3 linked regions of the Tamandua tetradactyla genome follow. The protein of the gene in region 2 purifies or fractionates together with the protein of the main gene of each other region. This does not show direct contact. Links are inferred from orthologs where the notes say so. Each region holds a gene or a part of one and is shown on either strand. Other genes may lie near its edges.

What was found.
Region 1: the proteins of EIF3L (region 2) and EIF3B purify together in Homo sapiens (affinity purification with mass spectrometry; 8 studies listed by BioGRID and IntAct, counting the BioPlex papers as one, with this or other methods). This does not show direct contact. The link is inferred for Tamandua tetradactyla from reciprocal best matches to the Homo sapiens genes EIF3L and EIF3B.
Region 3: the proteins of EIF3L (region 2) and ZNF746 purify together in Homo sapiens (affinity purification with mass spectrometry; 3 studies listed by BioGRID and IntAct, counting the BioPlex papers as one, with this or other methods). This does not show direct contact. The link is inferred for Tamandua tetradactyla from reciprocal best matches to the Homo sapiens genes EIF3L and ZNF746.

What each region holds. Positions count from the first base shown.
Region 1 is NC_135349.1:1,763,071-1,770,828, forward strand, and holds the start of EIF3B (eukaryotic translation initiation factor 3 subunit B), read left to right. Parts: upstream 1-4,679; 5' UTR 4,680-5,042; coding exon 5,043-5,562; intron 5,563-7,758.
Region 2 is NC_135333.1:30,217,407-30,224,404, forward strand, and holds the start of EIF3L (eukaryotic translation initiation factor 3 subunit L), read left to right. Parts: upstream 1-3,913; 5' UTR 3,914-4,013; coding exon 4,014-4,046; intron 4,047-4,372; coding exon 4,373-4,421; intron 4,422-5,106; coding exon 5,107-5,317; intron 5,318-6,998. UniProt on the Homo sapiens protein: Component of the eukaryotic translation initiation factor 3 (eIF-3) complex, which is required for several steps in the initiation of protein synthesis.
Region 3 is NC_135327.1:194,005,712-194,012,621, forward strand, and holds the start of ZNF746 (zinc finger protein 746), read right to left. Parts: upstream 3,022-6,910; 5' UTR 2,919-3,021; coding exon 2,889-2,918; intron 1,456-2,888; exon of another isoform or gene 1,384-1,455; intron 714-1,383; exon of another isoform or gene 642-713; intron 1-641.

The sequences.
Region 1 (7,758 bases), on a different chromosome or scaffold from region 2:
TCTTTTTCCATGTCAAAATCCCATTATTACAGCACCATTTGTTGAATTTTTGTTTGTTTGCTTTCTTTTTTCTTTGTTTGTTTGTTTTGGGACGTGCATGGGCCGGGAATTGAACCCGGTCTGCATGGCAGATGAGAATTCTACCACTACCCTTGCACTCTCAGTGAAGCCCTTTGGATGTGGTGATAAAGTGTTGGAGAGGGGAAGCACGCTATAATTTTATGAATAAAGCTCAGTTTCTCACTGCCCCTGAGTCTCTGAGCTGTGACTTTCAGAAATGTTTCTTCTTCTTTTTTTTTTAATCTTTTTCCTTGAGGGCAGACTTCTGTTATAGAGCATTCTCTGGGTATTTCAAAATGCTTACTTTTCTCCTAGACATATTTTTAAAATGGCACTTTTCTCCTCCCCTACTCAAAGCACAAGGGGATCTTTATCAAATCTTCACTGGAAGAACCTGGCAGAATTCCTGGAGGCAAAGCCTGTGAGCGCGTAGTGGCCCCTCCAAGATTGGCTCCCAGGAGCTTTTAATTCTCCAGGTGGTCCACAGTCAGCCTCCAACGATTTATAAAAGTTACCATCTAAATGTGCCAACCAGCTGCTGGTGATGGGTTAGATTATAAAGAGCCTACTGTGTGCTGTCTATAAAACCTATTTTAAATATCAAGATACTTATATGTTAAAAACAAAAGGATTAAAAGTGTTATCTTATACAAACGTTTAACAGGAAACTGGAGGGTACCTATATTAATAGCAGACAACATTGACTCCAGAACAGGGAATATTACCTAGGATAAAAAGGAACATTTTTAATAATAAAGGGGTTAATTCAGCAAAAAGACATGGCAATCCTAAATATATATGCACCTATTATACCTTCAAAGTAGATGAAAGAAGTGATAAAACTAAAAGGAGAAGTAGGTAAATATATAATCACAGTTGGAGAATTCAACATTTCTCTTTCAGCAATTAATAGAACAAGTGGACAGAAAGACAGAAAGGTTTCAGAAGATGTGAACAGTACTACTAACCATCTTGACCTGTCATTCTTTGAACATGCCACCCAATGACAGCAGTTGCTTTCCAAGTGTACAAGGAACATTCAAGTTAGACACATTCTAGGCCATGAAACACATCTCAATAAATCTAAATTTCTATGACTGCAATCACACAAAGTGTGTTATCTGTTGTGCTGGTTTGAAAGGATGTATGTCCCCTAGAAAAGCCATGTTTTAATCAAAATCCCATTTTCGTAAAGGCAAAATAATCCCTATTCAATACTGTATGGTTGAAACTGTGATCAGATCATTTCCCTGGATGATGTGATTTAGTCGAGTGGTTGTTGAACTGGATTAGGTGGAGGCGTGTCTCCACCCATGTGGGTGGGTCTTGATCAGTTTCTGGAGTTCTATAAAAAAGGAAACATTTTGGAGAATGAGAGTGATTCTGAGAGCAGAGCAGAAACACATAGCTATGAAAAGCAGAGTCCATCAGCCAGCAACCTATGGAGATGAAGAAGGAAAATGGCTCCTCAGAGCTTCATGAAACTGGAAGCCAGAAGAAGCTAGCAGATGACGTCATGTTTGCCACGTGCCCTTCCAGATGAGAGAGGAACCCTGACCATGTTCACCATGTGCCTTTCCAGATGAGAGAGAAACGCTGACTGTGTTTGCCATGTGCCTTCTCACTTGAGAGAGAAACCTTGAACTTCATCCGCCTTCTTGAACCAAGGTATCTTTCTCTGGATGCCTTTGATTGGACATTTCTATAGACTTGTCTTAACTGGGACATTTTCTCGGCCTTGGAACTATAAACCAGCATCTGATCAAATTCCCCTTTTTAAAAGCCATTCTGTTTCTGCTATGTTGCATTCCGGCAGCTAGCAAACTAGAACATCTGTCCTCAAGAAAATTAAATCCGAAACCAGTTACTGAAATGTATCTGGAATACCTCAAATATTTGGAAATTAAACAATACAATTTTAAGTAATCTGTGGGTCCCAGAAGAAATCATAATGAAAACTAGAAAATATTTTGACCTGAAAACATAACATATAATTGTGGGATGCAACTGAAGTAGTGGATAGAGGGGAATTTGTGGATATAAATTTAAGGCTTTAAATTCATGTGGTATCACCCTGTCCATTATAAAGTTACCTGTCAACTCTCATCAAATGGTTTCAGAAGTGTTGCAGGATTATTGCTTAGACTCATTATTTCTGAAGGACTGAAAAATGTTGTTTTCCTAATTTTATTGAACTTTCTGCATATAGTAGCTAGAATTCTTTTACAAAAAGAACTTTCTCTCACCAAATATTTGGCTATCTAAGGGTCAAAGAAGAAAAGCAAGATAAATTACTTTTTGCTTGAGTCTTTTATTTGCAGAATAACTGCCCAGCAATATTGAGCTGTGATTAACAAGGTTGTCTTTTTAAAAAATTTTTTATAACAATATGAACGTATAGATTTAAATATGCCATGTACATGAATCAAATGCAGTTTTTATTCTTTTTGAGGCTCAAACTGTCCTAGTGGAGGCCTTTGAAGATGGCCTGAGTCATTCTGCCCCCAAATTTTCAAATATACAGAAAAGTTAAAAGAAATTTTACAGTGAACACTCACAAACTCACCACCTAGATTTTATAACTAACATGTTTCTTGAACTCACATCATCAATCCCTTTCATTCTCATCAACCAGTTCTCAGTTTAGTGTGTACTCTTCCAGATCTTTTTGTACAGATTGTAAATACTGACCAAAATTATTCATAGAATATTTATAACATGATGCGTATTTTTTGTAATTGATATCATACTGTACATATCAATGTGCAATTAATAACCTTAACCCCATATGCATAAGTGCTAACCACGTTATCACATACAGATCTAGTGTGTCACTTACCTATTGTTAAATAACACATTACCCCTCAAATTGGGGGGTTGGGTTTAAAACAATAAACATTTATTATTTTGTGGCTCTTGTGCGTGAGAAATCCCGTAGCAGCTTGGGGGATGGCCCTGGCCCCCCGCTTCTCAGAGTTGCATCAAGATGTTGGCTGCAGGGCAGGTACCCGAAGCTGCTGGAGGCAGGAGGCCCTGCTCCCAAGGCGTTCAGATGTCCGAGACTTCACTTCCTCCACCTCTGCGGCGTCATCACCCTGATGACGAGCTTCTTTCAGAGCCGGAGATCCAAGAGAGGGAGGGCCAGGCGGACTTATCAGACTCTATGACGGAGACCTGGAAGTCACATAACCTCATCTCTGCTGTCTTCTGCTCACCAGGGGCGAGTGACAAGCCCACCCACATCAAGAGCATGATCCGGCGACACCTTCTGCAGGGAGGAGTGCCCCGTGACTGAAGAACCGACCACAGACGCACTGCCACACTCACTTCTGAGCTTCCACTGACGACGGTCGCCCCACGACTCGGCGATCCCTCCAGGGCGAGACCGCCGTAGCCGTCCCCACCGCGCGCGCCCTGCACGCCCGCTGCACACACGCGCTGACCGAGCCTGGGCATCGCGTGCAGTGCCTCTTACACGGCCGAGGGGCTTAGTGCTTTTTCTAGAAGCTAAGAGACAATGTTCCTATTCTCTCTGCAGAAAAGGCCATGCCAAGTCCGTTCAGTGCAAAATCCTAGGGAGCAGCTGCTCCGCGCAGGGCGAGCGACGCTGCAGAAGTCTCCCCCGCGTCCAGCTAAGGTCAGCCGTCTTCAAGCTTTTTGAAAAGCTTGGGTTCATATTTGCTTCTCATTCACTGACCTGTCCCCTTCCAGCACGTTCCATAAGAAGAGGGTTGGCAGAAGCCAACGATTTAAGAAAACGAGGTGAAACTAGAAATGGAGAGGATCCTTTGGTAATGAAGAGAACTAGCTCGCTGCCGGACCCTTCTGGGAGAAGGGCTCCCAAGATAGGTCCCACGTGCCGCGCACGTCAAATGTGCGTCTCACTGCGCAGATGGGGAAACTGAGGCAGCGGGGCTCGGGGACTTGCCCCGGGTTACACAGCTGACAGGATGGGGAGAATTCAAACACAGCAGACGCAGCCACAGAACCCTCGTTCTTCTTAGTATGATCGAAATATCGCACATTCAGCGGTTGCTGTGAAGCTTCGCAAGGAAAACCGAAATACAAACCCGGGCAAACCTCCCCTAAGCCGCCTCAGCTCACCCCTCCGACGCTCCCGTGTGGCTTCCGGCCCCGCCCCCCGAGGCCACGTGATCCGCCCGGTCTCGCGGCCGAGGGCGGAAGTCTCGGGAGTCCGAACCATCGTGAAGTGAGAATAGGGAGACGGCAGGAGTACAGCAAGCACTGTGCGATTGAGCGTACACGGTTAAACCACGTCTCATAAATTTTTGTTTTGGCCCAGGCAGCCATGTTTCCAGTACTGTTAGTGGCCTCTGCCTCTCCACAAATTCCTTTCCTGTTTTGGAATCGTCCGTTCTCTCGCTCTGTCAGTAGACAAGTCTAAGAGCCGAATGTAATGGGGGAATTTCGTAATGTTAGCGAAGTGATTTGTCTAGCTAAAAGCTATGGCATCAACCAAAGTCGCTTTTCGAACTTAGAGTTTTCCTAATATTAATATTTTATTTAAAGTTTAAATTTCATAGAAGTTCGTTTACAAAGATAATTTCTTAAGTCTCCCTTCGGCGTCACAAATAGTACAGTCCGCCGTAGCGCCCCATGGGAAAAGGAAGGGAGTGGTTGCCATGTTGGATTGAACCAACCCGCCGTCTCAAATGGGGTAGTTATGGTGCACGTTGAGTTTGCCGAGCGATGAAAACCTTGATGATTAGAATTGGCAACATAGTGGTCATACTGATATAGTTGTAAGGATTGGTATGCATGTCGTTTACACTCTAGGTTTTGTCAGTCGCTGTGGGAGGGGTGTGGGTGCCCCCCTCGGTCCTGGGCGCTTTGGTGCGGACTTCCCGGGGCGGACGCACATGGCTCGGGAGTAGGAGCCGGCGAGGCGCGCGGTGCGACCTGGGAGAATCGGAAGCGTGGCGGCGGCTGGGTCTGAGGAGAGGGAGGCCGCGCCCGGGCCCATGCAGCACGCGGAGAACGTGGCGGTGCCCGAGGCGGCCGAGGACGGGGCCGAGCCGGGGCAGCCGCAGCCCGCCGCCGAGCAGCCGCTGGAGGAGGAGCCGCCGCGGCCCGCCGGGCCCGCGACTCGGGAGGCGGCGGTGACCGAGGACAAGCCGGAGGCGGCGGCCGAGCCCCGGCCCGAGCTTGCTCTGAAGGCAGAACCGGAGGTCGAGGAGAAGGAGGCGGACGAGGCCGCCGCGGCCCTCGGCGCTTCCCCGGCTTCGTCTCAGCCGCCCTCGCCCGCGTCCGAGGAGGAGCCGCCCAGGTCGCCGCCCGGGTCCCCCGCCCCAGCGCAGGGGCAGGCGCGGGAGGAGGCCGGAGGCGAGGCCCCCGAGAGCCGGCCCCAGGCCCCGTCGCCGGAGGCGGGCGTGGACGCGGAGAAGGCGGAGGAGGCCGAGCCGCAGGCGGTGCAGAACGGCGACGCGGACGAGCCCTCGTTCAGCGACCCCGAGGACTTCGTGGACGACGTGGGCGAGGAAGGTGAGGCGGGCCCGCGGCCCTCTTCTCTGCCCTCTCGGTTTCCGAGATCTTAGTCGGGGTGTGAACGACGGCGTCCCCACGTCCCTCCTCCCGGGACAGCTCGAAGAGAAAGTTTTAGAGCCGTGCGGTGTTTGCGGAGAAGTCCCGGGTTCTGGAAACACGCCCAGGTGTCCTCTGACCGCGTTAGAAGCCGGCAAGGGAGGTGGGAGCGCCCTCCATCCTCCATCCCTCGTGGGGAGCCACTCTCGGCCCGGACAGCCTGCCCGCCTTCAGCTCTGTTCTGCCAGGACAGATTAGAAACGGCGTGGCGGGGGTCCCCTCGTCTGCGTCCCCGCCGCAGATCGGGGCGCGGGCTGGGGTTGGCTGCCTAGGCAGACCTCAGGGACGGACCCCGAGGCGGGGACCCGCAGAGGTGGAGCCACAGGGCCCTCTCTCCCAGGTGTGACAGCTTCCAGGTGTGCAGGCGTGAGTGCTCTCAGAGGTCGCCAGCCAGGCCCCCAAATGAGCTGCAGGAAAAGCGGGCTCTGACTGCTGAGTGTGGGCTGGTTCCTACCCCACAGTGCGGGCTCACCCCTACCCCACAGTGCGGGCTCACCCTACCCCACAGTGCGGGCTCACCCTACCCCACAGTGCGGGCTCACCCTACCCCACAGTGCGGGCTGGTTCCTACCCCACAGTGCGGGCTCGCCCTACCCCACAGTGCGGGCTCACCCCTATCCCACAGTGCGGGCTCACCCTACCCCACAGTGCGGGCTCACCCCTATCCCACAGTGCGGGCTCACCCCTATCCCACAGTGTGGGTTGGTTCCTACCCCACAGTGCGGGCTCGCCCTACCCCACAAGTGCGGGCTCACCCCTATCCCACAGTGCGGGCTCACCCTACCCCACAGTGCGGGCTCACCCTACCCCACAGTGCGGGCTCACCCTACCCCACAGTGCGGGCTCACCCTACCCCACAGTGCGGGCTGGTTCCTACCCCACAGTGCGGGCTGGTTCCTACCCCACAGTGCGGGCTCGCCCTACCCCACAGTGCGGGCTCACCCCTACCCCACAGTGCGGGCTCACCCCTACCCCATAGTGCGGGCTCACCCTACCCCACAGTGCGGGCTCACCCTACCCCACAGTGTGGGTTGGTTCCTACCCCACAGTGCGGGCTCACCCTACCCCACAGTGTGGGTTGGTTCCTACCCCACAGTGCGGGCTCACCCTACCCCACAGTGTGGGTTGGTTCCTACCCCACAGTGCGGGCTCACCCTACCCCACAGTGCGGGCTCACCCCTACCCCACAGTGCGGGCTCGCCCTATCCCACAGTGCGGACTCGCCCTACCCCACAGCGCGGACTCGCCCTACCCCACAGTGCGGGCTCGCCCTACCCCACAGTGCGGGCTCACCCTACCCCACAGTGCGGGCTCACCCTACCCCACAGTGCGGGCTCACCCTACCCCACAGTGGGGGCTCACCCTACCCCACAGTGCGGGCTCACCCTACCCCACAGTGCGGGCTCACCCTACCCCACAGTGTGGGTTGGTTCCTACCCCACAGTGCGGGCTCACCCTACCCCACAGTGCGGGCTCGCCCTACCCCACAGTGCGGGCTCGCCCTACCCCACAGTGCGGGCTCGCCGTACCCCACAGTGCGGGCTCGCCCTACCCCACAGTGCGGGCTCACCTTACCCCACAGTGCGGGCTCACCCTACCCCACAGTGCGGGCTCACCCTACCCCACAGTGCGGGCTCACCCTACCCCACAGGTGTCTGCCTCCAGAGGTGTCTGAGCAGGACGTGCTGGGCCGAGGCCCTGCAGAGTCCTGCTAAGCCTATAAAGCAGGCTGTCATCATTCTCTTGCAAATTATCTTTCCACATTTGCTTCAGTTCTACCTTGAATGACTTTCAGGCATTTCTGCTTCTGTCTGAGGTCCTGTTTCTTAAAGTGAGTTTTGTTGATGGCTGATCTCATTGTTTTTATTTCTTTTGTTTTGTTTTGTTTTTAGCTTTTATTTCAGCAAGCTGGAACCCCATCCATGGATTCATCTACCTATTGACTTTGTACTAAAGAGAAAAATGAAAACACTGTATTGAAGTAGACAGTGATAAACCAAGAAAATAATATCTTAACACGTGGTGGTCAGATGCAAAGTTTTTTGTGAGGTTGTGTCTTTTCATAGAGGTTCAGTCACAATCACACAATCTTTTAAA
Region 2 (6,998 bases):
TAAAATATAAAATGAAGGGATAAGGCATATTAAGACGGCTTTAGGCTGCAAGTAACAATGACTTAACTATAAGGACATTTAATCTAATACATTATTTTTAGATGAGTCTTATCTCATTGTTGAAGGCAATCTTCTCAGTTGATTGTAGAAGATGTAATCAACTTAACGATTATTTAAATCCATGAAATATCCTCAAAGTAACAATCAGGCCAGTGCTTGTTTGAGCAAACAACTGGACACCATAACCCGGCCAAGCTGACACATAAACTTAATCATCACAACCAGTATATAATAATATATTTTTTATTTAAAAAATATATAATAGATTTTTTGTGCATACTGACCATATTTCACATAACGTTGATAAATTTATTACAGTAACTTCTTTGTAGAGTCCTTAGGATTTTCTATATAGAGTATCATGCCATCTGTGAATAAAGACAGTTTTACTTTATTCTTTACAGCTTGTGGAGTAAGTTTCATTCTAAATGCAGTTCGACAGATATGGATTGAGAGTGGAAGCAGGAAGAGTGAGGAGGCTGTTACAATAATATAGGTGAGATGATGGTGGTTTGAACCAAGATAATAGAGACCAAGGTGGTAAGAACTGAGAATCTGAGAATATTTTTGAAGGTAGAGCCAACAAGAGTTGCAGATGGATTTGATGTGGGGTGTAAAAAGATAGAGGAGTAAAGGATGGCTCTGGAGGTTTAGGCCCGAGCAACTGAAAGAAATGTGTTGCCCTTCACTGAGATGGGGGAAACTGTGAGAGGAGCAGGGTTGAAGCAGAAGGTCAGGAGTTCAGTTTGGATATTAACTTTGAGGTGCTTATTAAATATTCAGGTTGTGATGGGAACAGGCAATGGGCCAGGGGCCCACGTCAGGGGTGGGGTCTGGAGAAGAGAGAGAAATCTGTGGAGTTAGTGGCATACGGATGATATCTAAGTATACTGGATTGGCTGAGACAGGGAGTGAGGTAGATAATGAAGAGACCCAAGGACCAACCGAGGAAGGATAGAGCAGTTCACTATTTAGTGATTGGAGAGATGATGAGGAACTAATAAAAATGGGAAAAAGAAGCCAGTGCAGAGGCTCCACTCAGAGCCTTTACCATTCTAACTTGCATCGTGATTCTCTAAACTAGAGTGTACAGGAGGGTAGAAAGTCTTAAAGAAAAAAACTAACAAATAAAATATATGCTATAGTATTATAAACAAGAGATCCAAGTTCAGTGGGGCCTGAATCTTATATGAAGAATGACGACTAGAAAATTACACAAAGCCAGGTGTGAAAGAGAGTATCAATTTAGAAGGAGAAATCACAGCACAACTTGAGAACTCAAACAATTATAATTTTTTAAAGGTGACAACTACCACAAACATCACAAATCCAGAGAAGTAACATATTTGTTAATGTTCTGAAACACTTCCATAATGTTTTCTCTTTTTTTTTGGCTGACAAATTACTCTTTAGTTGCCTCTTTTTTTTTTTTTAACATGGGCAGGCACTGGGAATTGAACCCAGGTCCTCTGGCGTGGTAGGCAAGCGTTCTTGCCTGCTGAGCCACCGTGGCCCGCCCTTTGGTTGCCTCTTTATATGACAATTTCATATTATCATTTTCCATAATTGATTGATGACACTCACTGACAACAGGGGATGGTAAGTGTCCTACCTAGGGAGACCTGCAATAAGTTAATTATGCACAGAAGGAGCAGTGTCACTTACATACATCTTATTAAACCCAAATGTTCCCAACTAGATTTCCTCTGCCAGATCCAAATGCCAACAGACATAGTGTGAATTGCAAAGAAGGGAATTAGAGTGGAGAGAGTGGTTGGAACCAATTGCAGTAACAATATTATATTGGCAAATTTTGACCATGTGAGTACATTGCTAGCTACTCTTCCTGAGTCATGGAAGAGACCTGGTGAATCAAAGAGACATGAAACTTAAGCTCCATTAGTTCCATGGTAAATTAATCACACCTTTGATGACACTGCAACTAAGGTACACAAAGCAAGAACAGGGCAAAGGGCACTGGAGCTGGGAGTTGTAATTCTAAAATAGGATGCTCTAAGTTGATGACAGTAAACACACCTGAAGGAGTGATGCAGCATGCCTTGTGGATGTCTGTAAGGACTGCATTCTAGAATTTAGATACAGGTAATTCTAAGCAGAAAAGCCCTGAAGCAGATGGGAAAAGCAAAGAGGGTAGTATAACTAGAAAATATGGAGGCTAGGGCCCAGAGAGGGTGAAACTTGCTTCTGGCCACACAGCAAATCAGAGGCATAGCAGGGACTGGAACCCAGATTTCCTGTCTTGGTATTGTAAACGGGCAGATGGCTAAACCAAGGCCCCCTCCCGGTTTCTGTTGGCTTGTCTTATAGCTTCCATCCCTAATTCCAGGGCTCCCGCAGAGCTAAGAGCACCTCTTACTACTCCGATCACAATGCACAGCCTGGGTGCTCAAGCGCTGACTCGATCTCAGGCTTCGCCCTAGGGCTTCACACCACAACACCACAGCTGGCTCTGGCATTTCTGTTTTTTTTTTTTTTTTTTTTTTAACATTTTTCTTGCAAAATATATATACAAAAAAAAAGCAATAAATTTCAACCTACATTGTAACAAGTAGTGATAGGACAAACTTCAGTGTTTGACATGGGTTACAGTTCCACAATTTCAGGTTTTTCTTTCTAGCTACTCCAAGACACAGGAGACTAAAAGAAATATCAATATAACGAGTTAGGTTGGTCATTCACCAAACCCTATCTTCTCTAATTCTCCCTCTCCCCCCACCCCCCTCCCAATCTTTAGAGTTATTTGCCCATTCTAACTTTTTCATGTTGGAAATGGGTGTCGATAATATGGGACGGGGGGATGGAACTAGTTGATGTTCTTGAAGAGGCTGGCTCCTCTGGATTTCAGGACTTACCTGGCTTAGGAAACCATCTGGAGGTTGTAGATTTCCAGAAAATAAACTTAGTACATGAAACTTATATACAATCTCAGACAGAGCCCTAGGTATTCCTCAGGGTTAACAGGAATGGTTTTGTTTGGGGTCTGGCAAACTGTGGAAATTAGCAATACCTAGCTAAAGCTTGTGTAAGAGTAGTCTCTAGAATAGCCCTTTGACTTCACTTTAACTCTCAGTCACTGATATCTCACTCTGTTAGGTTTCTCTTTCCCTTTTTGGTGAGGAAAGTGCAGGTGATCCCACAGCGCCAGGGCCAGGCTCATCCCCTGGAGTCATGTCCCACATTGCCAGGGAGACTTTCACCCCTGGATGTCATGTCTGTAGGGAGAGGGCAACTATCTTCCCTGCAGAGCTGAGCTCAGAGAAAGGCCACACCTGAGCAACAAAAGAGGTCCTCTGCTATAAACTCTTAGGCCAACTATAGATAGTTTAGCTTCTCTGCTACAGAAACAGCTGGCTTCGTTCTTGCCTGCTCCAATCATAATGTGCAAAGTTGGGAGCGCCTTTTCTCAATACCACCTCACTGAATGAAACCAAGACTCAACTGTAACACAGCAAATTTAGGGTCTTGAGGCCGGAAAGTTTGAAGACGTTATTTGCCTCAGGCAAGCCTCCCACACCTAAATCCGTAGTCAGGCCCCCTACGTCCGGATATCCTTTCACGCAAGAAGGCGGACCCAGGAAGCTGTCAGACATCTTTTGTGTGGCATTTCATAGGAGACTTAATTTGCCCGCCCTTTATGCCGAACTATTTCATGCCCTTAGTTCTGAATTTATGAAAGTCATATAACGTGACTTTCTTTCAAAGCCTCTCTTTGAAGAAAATAGAAAGAACTTAGGCCTTGTAGTTATTTTATTATTATTATTATTATTTTTTTTTTTAGCCCTTCCGAACATGGCTATCTGAGGTGGCCGCCGGCTATAGCAAGGCTTCCGGTTTCCCAGCAGGACCGAGAAGTGTCGGAAGTTCCGGTCTCACAGGGCAGGCGGTGGCATTTCTTTTTCTCTTTCGGCGGCGGTTTCGCGAGTTTTGCTGCTATGTCCTACCCCGCGGATGATTACGAGTCGGAGGTAGGATGCTTGTAAGCGCGTGGTCGGGTCCACGACCTGGGCAGGGGCTCTCTGGGTGCTGGGCCTCGGGGAGAGATGGTGTCTCGCTTTCGCCTTGCCTTCCCGCGTGGCCCTTATGCAGTAGCCACAGCTCCGGCTTCCTTTGCCACCGTCTCCCCGCCCGCTTCTCTTGCCTGGTCATCTTCGTCCTTCCCTTTTTCGGGACCGACTACAGAGGCTGTACCCTGCCCATGCCTGTATCCCTAGCTTCCTACTTGACGCAGGATGCCCGTGGGACGAAGGTTGTGGATTCACAAATTGTTGACTATGTGTGTCTGTCGTTCTAGGCTGCTTATGATCCATATGCTTACCCGGGTGACTATGATATGCATACAGGTAAGACCTGTATATACATACAGGTAAGAGTTTGTTTGACTATCTTAGGGATTGGCACCTTTTTGAATGGCTCAGAACAGCTCTGATGGGTATCTCTTAAAAACTGCTACTTGATGGTCCAGGCTTGGAGTCAGTTATTAACTCTCAGTGGGAGGGTTGGGTAGAATCTAATAAACTAACCTCCTACTCTCCCCCCCCCCCCCCTTTTTTGTGGTCAGTCTAAACAGTCTCAGAAGAGAAGGATTTTTGACTGGCCAGACTGTGGTCTCTTTGTTTTAACTTTTAGCCGAAAAAGAGAATTTTGACGTGAAAAGTTGAAATGATTCAAACCATACTCAAATGAAGTATTTGTGGGGTAGAGGAGCTTTGAGGTTTTGTACAATTTACAAAGACTGGGCTTGATTTAGTACTTAGAACTTTACTTTCTAGTAGAGAAAACAAATAATTGAGTAAATCGTTTTAGTAGTGATAAATGTCCTGAAGAAATAGGGTGATGGGATGGAGAACAACTTAGGGAAGGTTATATCTCTTTGAGTTGTTTAAAGGGGAGTTACACTGAATTTCATAGACTTGAATTTAGCTCATGGTTACTTGGGGATGGTCCTGCCTTTTTCATTACATCACATAATATGGGTCTGAGAGCACTTTGTAAAGTATTTATTTATTTATTATATCCAACCTGTAGGAGATCCAAAGCAGGACCTGGCTTATGAACGTCAGTATGAACAGCAGACATATCAGGTGATTCCTGAAGTGATAAAAAATTTTATCCAGTATTTCCACAAAACCGTCTCAGATTTGATTGATCAGAAAGTTTATGAGCTACAGGCCAGTCGAGTCTCCAGTGATGTCATTGACCAGAAGGTGTATGAGATCCAGGACATCTACGAGAACAGGTATGTGCTGCTGGCCAAAATAACCTCACTGTGTGGTACTAGCCTAGCTATTCAGGCCCTACAGAAGGGGTGCTGTTTAATCATTTTCTGTGAAGAAACTGCCCAGGAGTCTCAGTAGGAAAGGGGAAAGTTATTTTGTTGGACTATAGCTCCAGGAATTTGTATAAAGCCTTAAATAACTGTAGCTATGTTAATAATTATAATGGCAGTTAATATGTATTATCAGTATGGATCAGGCAGTACCCAGAGTACTTTTGGACTTATTTGTTACCCTCCTCAGTAACCCTATGAAGTAGGTCCTGTTGTTTTCCTGTTTTTATAGGTGAAGAAACAATACACAGGGGATAAGTGCATGAGTATAAGTATGTAGAAGCTAAGTGGATGAGCTAGATTTTGAAATTATACAGTCTGACACCAGAGCCTAATTCTGAACTTCTGTGCTTTACAACCTCTCGGTGTGTGCTGTGGTGTGCCAGGCTCCAGAGTGGTTGCTTCTGGTGTTTTGAGGATTGCCTTCGTGTACTGGGCATTAGAGCTGAGGTGGATCAGTCCAGGGTGGGATAGTAAAGAAAGTCTTCGCCAAGGTAATAGAATTTAAGCCAGTCTTGGAAGGGTGAATGGTGAAAGCAATATGGTTCGAGGCCTACTGAGTCAATGACTAGGAGCACCTTAATCCCTGATCTGTTTCCTTCATTCCTCAGGCCTTTCTGATGAGAAATATATAGGCCGCTGCTATTTAATAGAAACATGATACTAGCCACTAGTGTAATTTAAAAATGTTCAGCAGCTACATTAAAAATATTAAAAGAAACAGTTAAAATTCATTTTAATGTTATTTAATCCCATGTACCCAAAATATAATTTTGCAAATAATCAGTATAAAAAAAAAACCATTGCAAGCTTCAGTTAGACGTTGCTTCTTATCATAACTTGCCAAACCTCAACCAAAACCATTCCTGTCAAAACTAAAGACTACTTAGGGCATTATATAAGATTCTACAAAGATTCCATCTGCTAGATTAACTTTCCAGAAACCTACAACCTCCAGATGGGTCCCTGGACCAGATAAGTCCTGAAATGCAGAGGGGCCAGCCTCTCCAGAACATCAGCTAGTTCCATCCCCCTATCTCATATTATTGACAGCCCCTTCCAACATGAAAAAGCTAGAATGGCCATAGCCCAGATACTCCTAAAGAGTGGGAGAAAGATCAAAGGTAATTGAGGAATTGTACAGAAAAGGTAGGGTATAGCAAGTGATTATGAGTGCTGAATCATATTGACATTTCTTTTAGACTCCAGTACCTTAGAGCGGCTAGAAGTAAAAACCTAAAATTGTGGAATTGTAACCCATACCAACTTTAAAATCTGTTCAATAACAACAAAGACTGTTAATGAGATCTTTTATGTCTTCATACTAAGTCTTCTAAGTTTAATGTGTGTTTTACATTTATCGAATATCTCAGTTCACATACTACATTTTCATTGTAAATACTTGATCTGTAGGTATTTCTTAAAATTTACAGTTCTAAAGGTAGACTCACATACCCAAGTTATTCGCTTCCTCAGTCGTGCCAGCCACATGTGGTTGGTACCTACTGTAATGGATAGCACAGAGGGATATAGCTGGTAGCTGAAGGCAAACATAGGGTAGATCCTTCCTGAGGAGAATGCTAAGTGAAAA
Region 3 (6,910 bases), on a different chromosome or scaffold from region 2:
TTGTCACACTGCTGAGGCCATACCATATTTTCCCATTTGTGTCTGGCTTATTTCAGTCAATATGAAGTCTTAAAATTTCATCCATGTTGTCGCATGGATCAGAACTTCATTCTTGTTCCTGTTTGTTCTTGATTCTCACAAATTTAGCCTGTATTCAGTCATTGAATGCTAGGAGTATAAGTTAAAGCATCTTTCCCAGTCTTTCCAGATTGTCTCTGTGCTGGTGCACCCCTTTGACATTTGCCTGGACTGTAGCCCTGGTTTCAGAGAAAGTTTTTGAGAGCTGCTATGTGTGCTCTGTACTGGACATTAGGAGGTGGGAGGCTTTCCCGTCAGCATGTGCCTTCAGGGAACACAGTGTGGTTGAGGATATGATCCCCATAGACATCAATGTCACATCACTGTGACCTCAGGTTTTGCAGTCCAGAGAGAGAGAGGTTCTGTGGGTTGCTCCAAGAAACCACAATTGGTGGAGGACACTTAGGCCTTTGGGTGGGACTTATGTAAGCGATATGTGGGTGTCATTGGCTACCAAACTGGGGTTTCCTACTCACTCCAACCAGTGGAGATCTCTTCAGACTTGTGTTGGGCCCACAAAAGAGTATGTGGGTAGCCTCAGCTACCAAAAATATAGACAAGAAAGGGGGTGCCTGGATTTGAACCAGGGACCTCTTGATCTGCAGTCAAATGCTCTACCTCTGAGCTACACCCCCTGGCATGCTAGTGCAAATTAGTTGTTACCTTTCACCTGTCTGGTAACACTCAGTTCTATAAAACAGTTTTCACTTCTTCTCTGAACTGGTGTCTTGGAAGTTGCTAGGCATGAGTCATAGCAACAGATCGGGAGTTTTCCCAACCTCAGTTCTTGGGTTGAGATCGCAGTGGGGCAAGAAAAGATATGCCTGTAGGACCCTCAGCCCATTACCTATCACTTTTTCTGTTTAGTCTGAGGGCTGGTCATTGGATTTTGCCAAAATACACAGATAATCCTCCTCTGGGCCCCCAGTAAAGATAGAAATGGGCTATAGTTCAAATGGTTTCACAAAGTTACAAGTGTAGACCCCTTGTTTCATTGGTACAGAACCTAAGCCAGGGCTCAGTCTTATGGGTTTGGGACAAGTATAGGAGAGAGCCATGGTGTGTTAGAAACGAGATTCCCAGAGTGAAAAATCTGCCCTACATGAGATCTTGAATGCTATAATGTGCCCTCTTATGTCTGACTGCCAGTGCAGTGAGCCATGCTGTCTTGATAGGAAGAGGGGAGCTGAGGGTGATGATTTGGGGTTATAAGTTACTGTTTATCCGTGGTTTGCCCTGGGAGAGACAGCCAGTAGAAGTCTGAGCATGCAAGCGATAGGTTTTGTGGCTAGAAAAACCAATGGTAGGGGGCACCTGGATTTGAACCAGGGACCTCTTGATCTGCAGTCAAATGCTCTACCCCTGAGCTATACCCCCTTGCTCATAGCAACTGGCTTTGTAAGCACCTTTGCAATTTTATATAAACTCTTACCCATGACTCCTTCAGCACACTGTAAATTTATCATCTCTACAAAGCAGGTATGACCGGCAACCTACTCTTATATGAACTCACTCCCAGAGGCTCCCCAACCCTACTGCCTGCTCTCATTTCTGCATCTCTGCTTGCCATCAGTCAGAGGTGACAGAAACAGGAGAAGCATTGATACTTATAACTGGAAGGAACTTTAGGATTTACTTGCCTGTTTTCCTCATGTTATAAATGACCAAATGGTAATATGAAGAAATGCTGCTCAACCACTTTTGAGACACATGCACTCTCCACATTTAAGTCATGATGATGGTGAATGGAGGAGTCAATGAACTTTCCAATACTTGACACAGATCCTGAAATAGTAGTCCTGGGAAGCAACATTGAAGCAACATAGCATGAGTAAAAAGAGAGGACTCTGGATTTGAACAAGGGGATCCTTTTTTCTTTTTCAACTTTAGTTCTGACGCCCTTAATACAATTAAAAATTTCCCGTCACTGGTATTTATTATATTCACACTGTTGTGTTGCCCTCGACAGCATCCATTACCAAAATTATTTGATCACCCCAAATAGAAACTCTGCACAAAACTATTTTCCCATCCCTGCTTCTCACCCTCAGTAATCTGTCATTTAATTTTGATCTGTGGACATGGTGATTCTAAGTATTTCATATAAGGGAAATCATAGAATATTTGTCTTTTTTTGTCTGATGTATTTCATTCAACATCATGTCTTCACAGTTCATCTATATTCTAGAGAGTATCAGTACTAAATTCCTTCTTGTGAGCGCATAATAGTCCATTATATTTTTGAAGCCTGTTTTGTTAATCCATTCTTCTGATGATAGACGCTAATTGTTTCCATGTTTTTGAGTTTATGAATAATGGTGCCATGAATTTTGGTGTCCAAGTATCTAGTCGAGTCCTTGCTTTCAATGCTTTGCCACATAGAAATGTAGGTGTAGAATTGGAAATTCATACAGTCATTCTGAGTTCAACTTTCTGAGGCTCCACCCAACTCTTTGCAAGAGAGGTAAACTTAGAATCCCACTAAAAGTGTGCATGGGTGCCTACTTTTCTGCATCCTCATCAGCACTTCTTATTTCCTTGATTCTGTTATAACAGCCATGTGGGTATCCAGTTTTCTGACCCCACGTGTTCTCATTTCTGTAGCTTTGTAGTAGATTTTGTCAATGGAAGTGTGACTTCTCTAACTTTTTTGTTCCTTTTCAAAACTGTCTTGGCTGTTCTGGATTCCTTGAAGTTCATTAGAATTTTAGAATGGGAATTTCTATTTCCATAAAACATAATCTAAGGACACTGATATGGAATGCATTGAAGCTTTAGACCTTTTGGTGTAATCAGGACAACTTACCAACCTTAAGACTTCTAATCCATGCACACTGCATATCTTTATATTTATTGACATCTCTTGATCTCTTTTGGCAACGTTTTGTAGTTGTCAGTGGACATGTCTTCTCCCCCTTGGTTAAATTTATTCCTTGGCACTTTATTCTTTCTGATCATTCTTGTGGGATGAGTTTCTTAGTTGCCTTTGTTCTGACATAAGGGTAGTCATAGAGACCATCGTAATAGAATTGAAGGCCTAGAAATAAGCCCTCCCATCTAGGGTCAATTGATTTTTGGCAAGGGTGCTGAGATCATTTCAAATGGGAAAGAAGAATTTCTTCAGATATCAAAAATGAAAAAGGAGACATTACTACCAACTGTGTGCAAACTAAAACAATTATAAGAGGATGACACAAACAACCGTATTGCTACACATCATATGACCTAAGTGACTTGGACAAATTTCCAGAAACACCCAAACCACCAAACTGACACAGAAAGAAATAGAAAGATTGAATAGAACAGTCTCATTTTGCCTGCACTGCAGTCACAAATACCACAAACTGGTTTTGTCTCAAACAATGGGAAATTACTGAACCACAGTTTAGAGGCTGAAAGAAGAATTCCACAATCAAGGTTTTAGTAGAATTTGCTTTTTCCTGTAAAGATGGTAGCACTCTGCTGCTGGCTTCTGACAATCCTGGAGTTCCTTTGGCTTGTATTCTTTCTCCCAAAACACTGTGCAATCATTTCCAGCTTCTGTCACTTCCTGGTTCATACTATTAAGCCTCTAGGAAACTGATTAATACCCTCCCTAATTCAGCTGGGCCACACCACAACTAAAAGTAACATCTCCGAAGGCCCTTTATACACGGGGTTCACATCCAGATTGAGATTAAGGACATGTGTTTGTTGGGATACATAATTCATCCTACCACAGACTTAAATCAAATGAAGACATTGAATCAGTAAACAAACCCTACCATCAAAGAGAAGCTCAAGATTTGATGACTTACCTGGTCAATTCTACCAAAAATTTAAAAACAATTAACAGCAATTGTTACGTATCTTTTAGAGAAATTGAATAGGGGAGCACACTTCCTAACTAACCCTGCGGGACCAGCATCACCTAGCACTGACACCAGGCAAAGACAGTAGAGAAAAGAAAAATACAGACCAATTACATTTAAAGCAGTATTGATGTGGAAGGACAATCTGTTTTTCTCTATGTTGTATATGATTTTTGACCCTCAGTTCCTCCCTTTTCTCCCTTCCTTTGTATTTCATTAATTTACCTGGTTCATTAATTTACCTGTATAACATATATACAAAGCAAAGAAATAAAAAGCAGTAGTTTTCAAAGCACTCTTCAACAAGTAGTTACAGGACAGATCCCAGAGTTTGTCATGGGCTACCATACGATCCTCTCAGATTTTTCCTTCTAGCTTTGCCAGAATATAGGAGGCTAGAAGGCTTGACTAATTTTTATCACCACAATTGACAGTTTTTCTTTCTTTGTGTGTGAAAAATAACATATATACAAAAGAGTAATAAATTTCAAAGCGCAGCACCACAATTAATTGTAGAACATATTTCAGAGTTTGACATGGGCTACAATTCCACAATTTTAGGTTTTCACTTCTAGCTGTTCTAAGATACTGGAGACTAAAAGAAATATCAATTTAATGATTCAGCATTCATATTCATTTGTTAAATCTGATCTTCTCTGTATAACTCTACTATCCCCTTTGCTCTTTCTCTCCCTCTCTTTAGGGATGTTTGGGCTATGGCCATTCTAACTCTTGCATGTTGGAACAGTCTGTCACTAATATGGGGTAGGGAGATTGAACTATCTGATGTTTTGGAGAGGCTGGGCCCTCTAGGTTTCAGAACTTACCTTGTCCAGGGACCCATCTGGAGGTTGTAGGTTTCTGGAAAGTTACAGTAGCATATGGAAACCTTGTGGAATCTTATATATTGCCCTAGGTGTGCGTTAGGATTGGCTGGAATGGTCCTGGTTGGAGTTTGGCAGGTTGTGGTAGGTAGCAAACTAAAGCTTGCGGAAAAACAACCTCCGGAGTGTAGCCTCTTGACTCTATTTGAACTCTCTCTGCCACTGATACTTTATTAGTTATACTTCTTTTCCCCCTTTTGGTCTGGATGGAATTGTTGATCCCATGGTGCCAGGTCTGGATTCATCCCTGGGAGTCCTCTCCCACATCACCAGGGAGACTTTCACCCCTGGATGTCATGTCCCACATAGGGGAGAAGGCAATGATTTCACTTGCAGTACTGGGCTTAGAGAGAGTGAGGTCATCTCTGAGCAACAACAGAGGTCCTCCAGAAGTAACTCTTAGGCATACCTATAGGTAGACTATGCTTCTCTGCTACCTACATAAGCTTCACAGTAGTAAACCTCAAGATCAAGGACATGGACTATTAATTTGGGTGTTCCTAAAGTTTGACACAATATCGGGAAATTTCCTGATGGTAAAGTTTAATAGTTTCATATATTTTTTTCCATTCCTCAAGGGACTTTGCCAATACTTTTTGATTATCTGCTTAATATACTCTAGGATGTATCCAGGCATTACATTAGGCTATACAGGATTAAAGGACCTCTTTCTTATTCTGGGCTCCCTGTATTTTAGTTGTTCAATATACTGATAGGTTGAGTTAGATTATGTGTTACAGAAAATTTTGGTTCCAGACCAAATAAACCTTTCTTCCTTTGGTCCTAAAGAGTATGTGTGGTTCTAAAATGTAGATAATGTCTTCATTACCCCTGTGTTCTGAATTTAACCCAACCTGATTAGCTTCGTTCTTATCTCTAAATATCAGGTTATATATATATAAAATATATATTATATATATTTACATATATAAACATATAGAATAAATATATTATTTATACATATAAATCAATATATATATATATATATATATATATATATATATATCAGGTTTATATACATATAAAACAACCTTTCAAAATCCAGAAATAATAATTGCCACTGGATTAAATGTGTCTGCTGTTAAATCTTACAATCTAGGCCCCTGTTTTCTTGTAAAAATTTTCTAAAGGAGACCATACCATTGTTGTTCTTATGTTTCTGGCTTATTTTCCTCACCAAATGTCCCATACATTCATTCACATCATTGCTTGCCTCACAACTGCATTCCTTTTTTTTACCAGCACAACATTTCTTCATAAGTTTACACCATCATTTGCCAATCTACTGCTCAGTCAGTGCATCCTTCAGTCATCTGCATTCATCAGGAATCATGTATAGGGCTCAAAATCCACAGTCCATCAATACTCTCAATTTCAAATAATTTAATTGTTTCCAAGAGAAAGAAAACCAATAAACACACCCTCGCCAAATAGGAAATCTAAACCTCCTCTTAACTCTTGTTCCTCCCCATTATTTATCTCTGCTGTTGCTGTGGCAGTGCTGATATTTTCCTTTTAAACATAGCCCATAGCATGCAATAGCAGTTTCCCCCCTGTACCCTGGACTTAAACACTCTTTGTACATGAATCACACCTTTGAAGTAGTTCTTGCAAGAACTATACGACCTAGTTTGAATAATGCCAACTTCATTTGTATCGCATACATCTGCGTGTCTATGTACATCACGGTTCCTCCATTTTTACATCGTTATTCTCACAGACTTTATCTTTATACTCCATGGGTACATTAACAGAGATCAATAACTTTTGTTTCATTTGTTAGCTATTTAGATCATAGTTAAAGAGAAGTGCTACAAATGAACACCACAATGATACTGGCTTTTATATTTTTCTATGTAGTTATGTTTAACCTTGTTCTTTATTTCTACATATGGCCCACATTAGTGTCCTTTCCTTTGTGTCTGAAGGCCTCCCTAGTGCATGCTTGTGATCTCACCTAGCCTTTGTTTTAACCTGATTTTCTATTTCGTTCCTCACAGAACTTAGGTTAACAGTTTCTGTTCCTATTAGCAGTTGAAATATGTCAACCCACACTCCTCAATAATTTCTCCAGAGAAGTCAGGTGCTAATCTTACT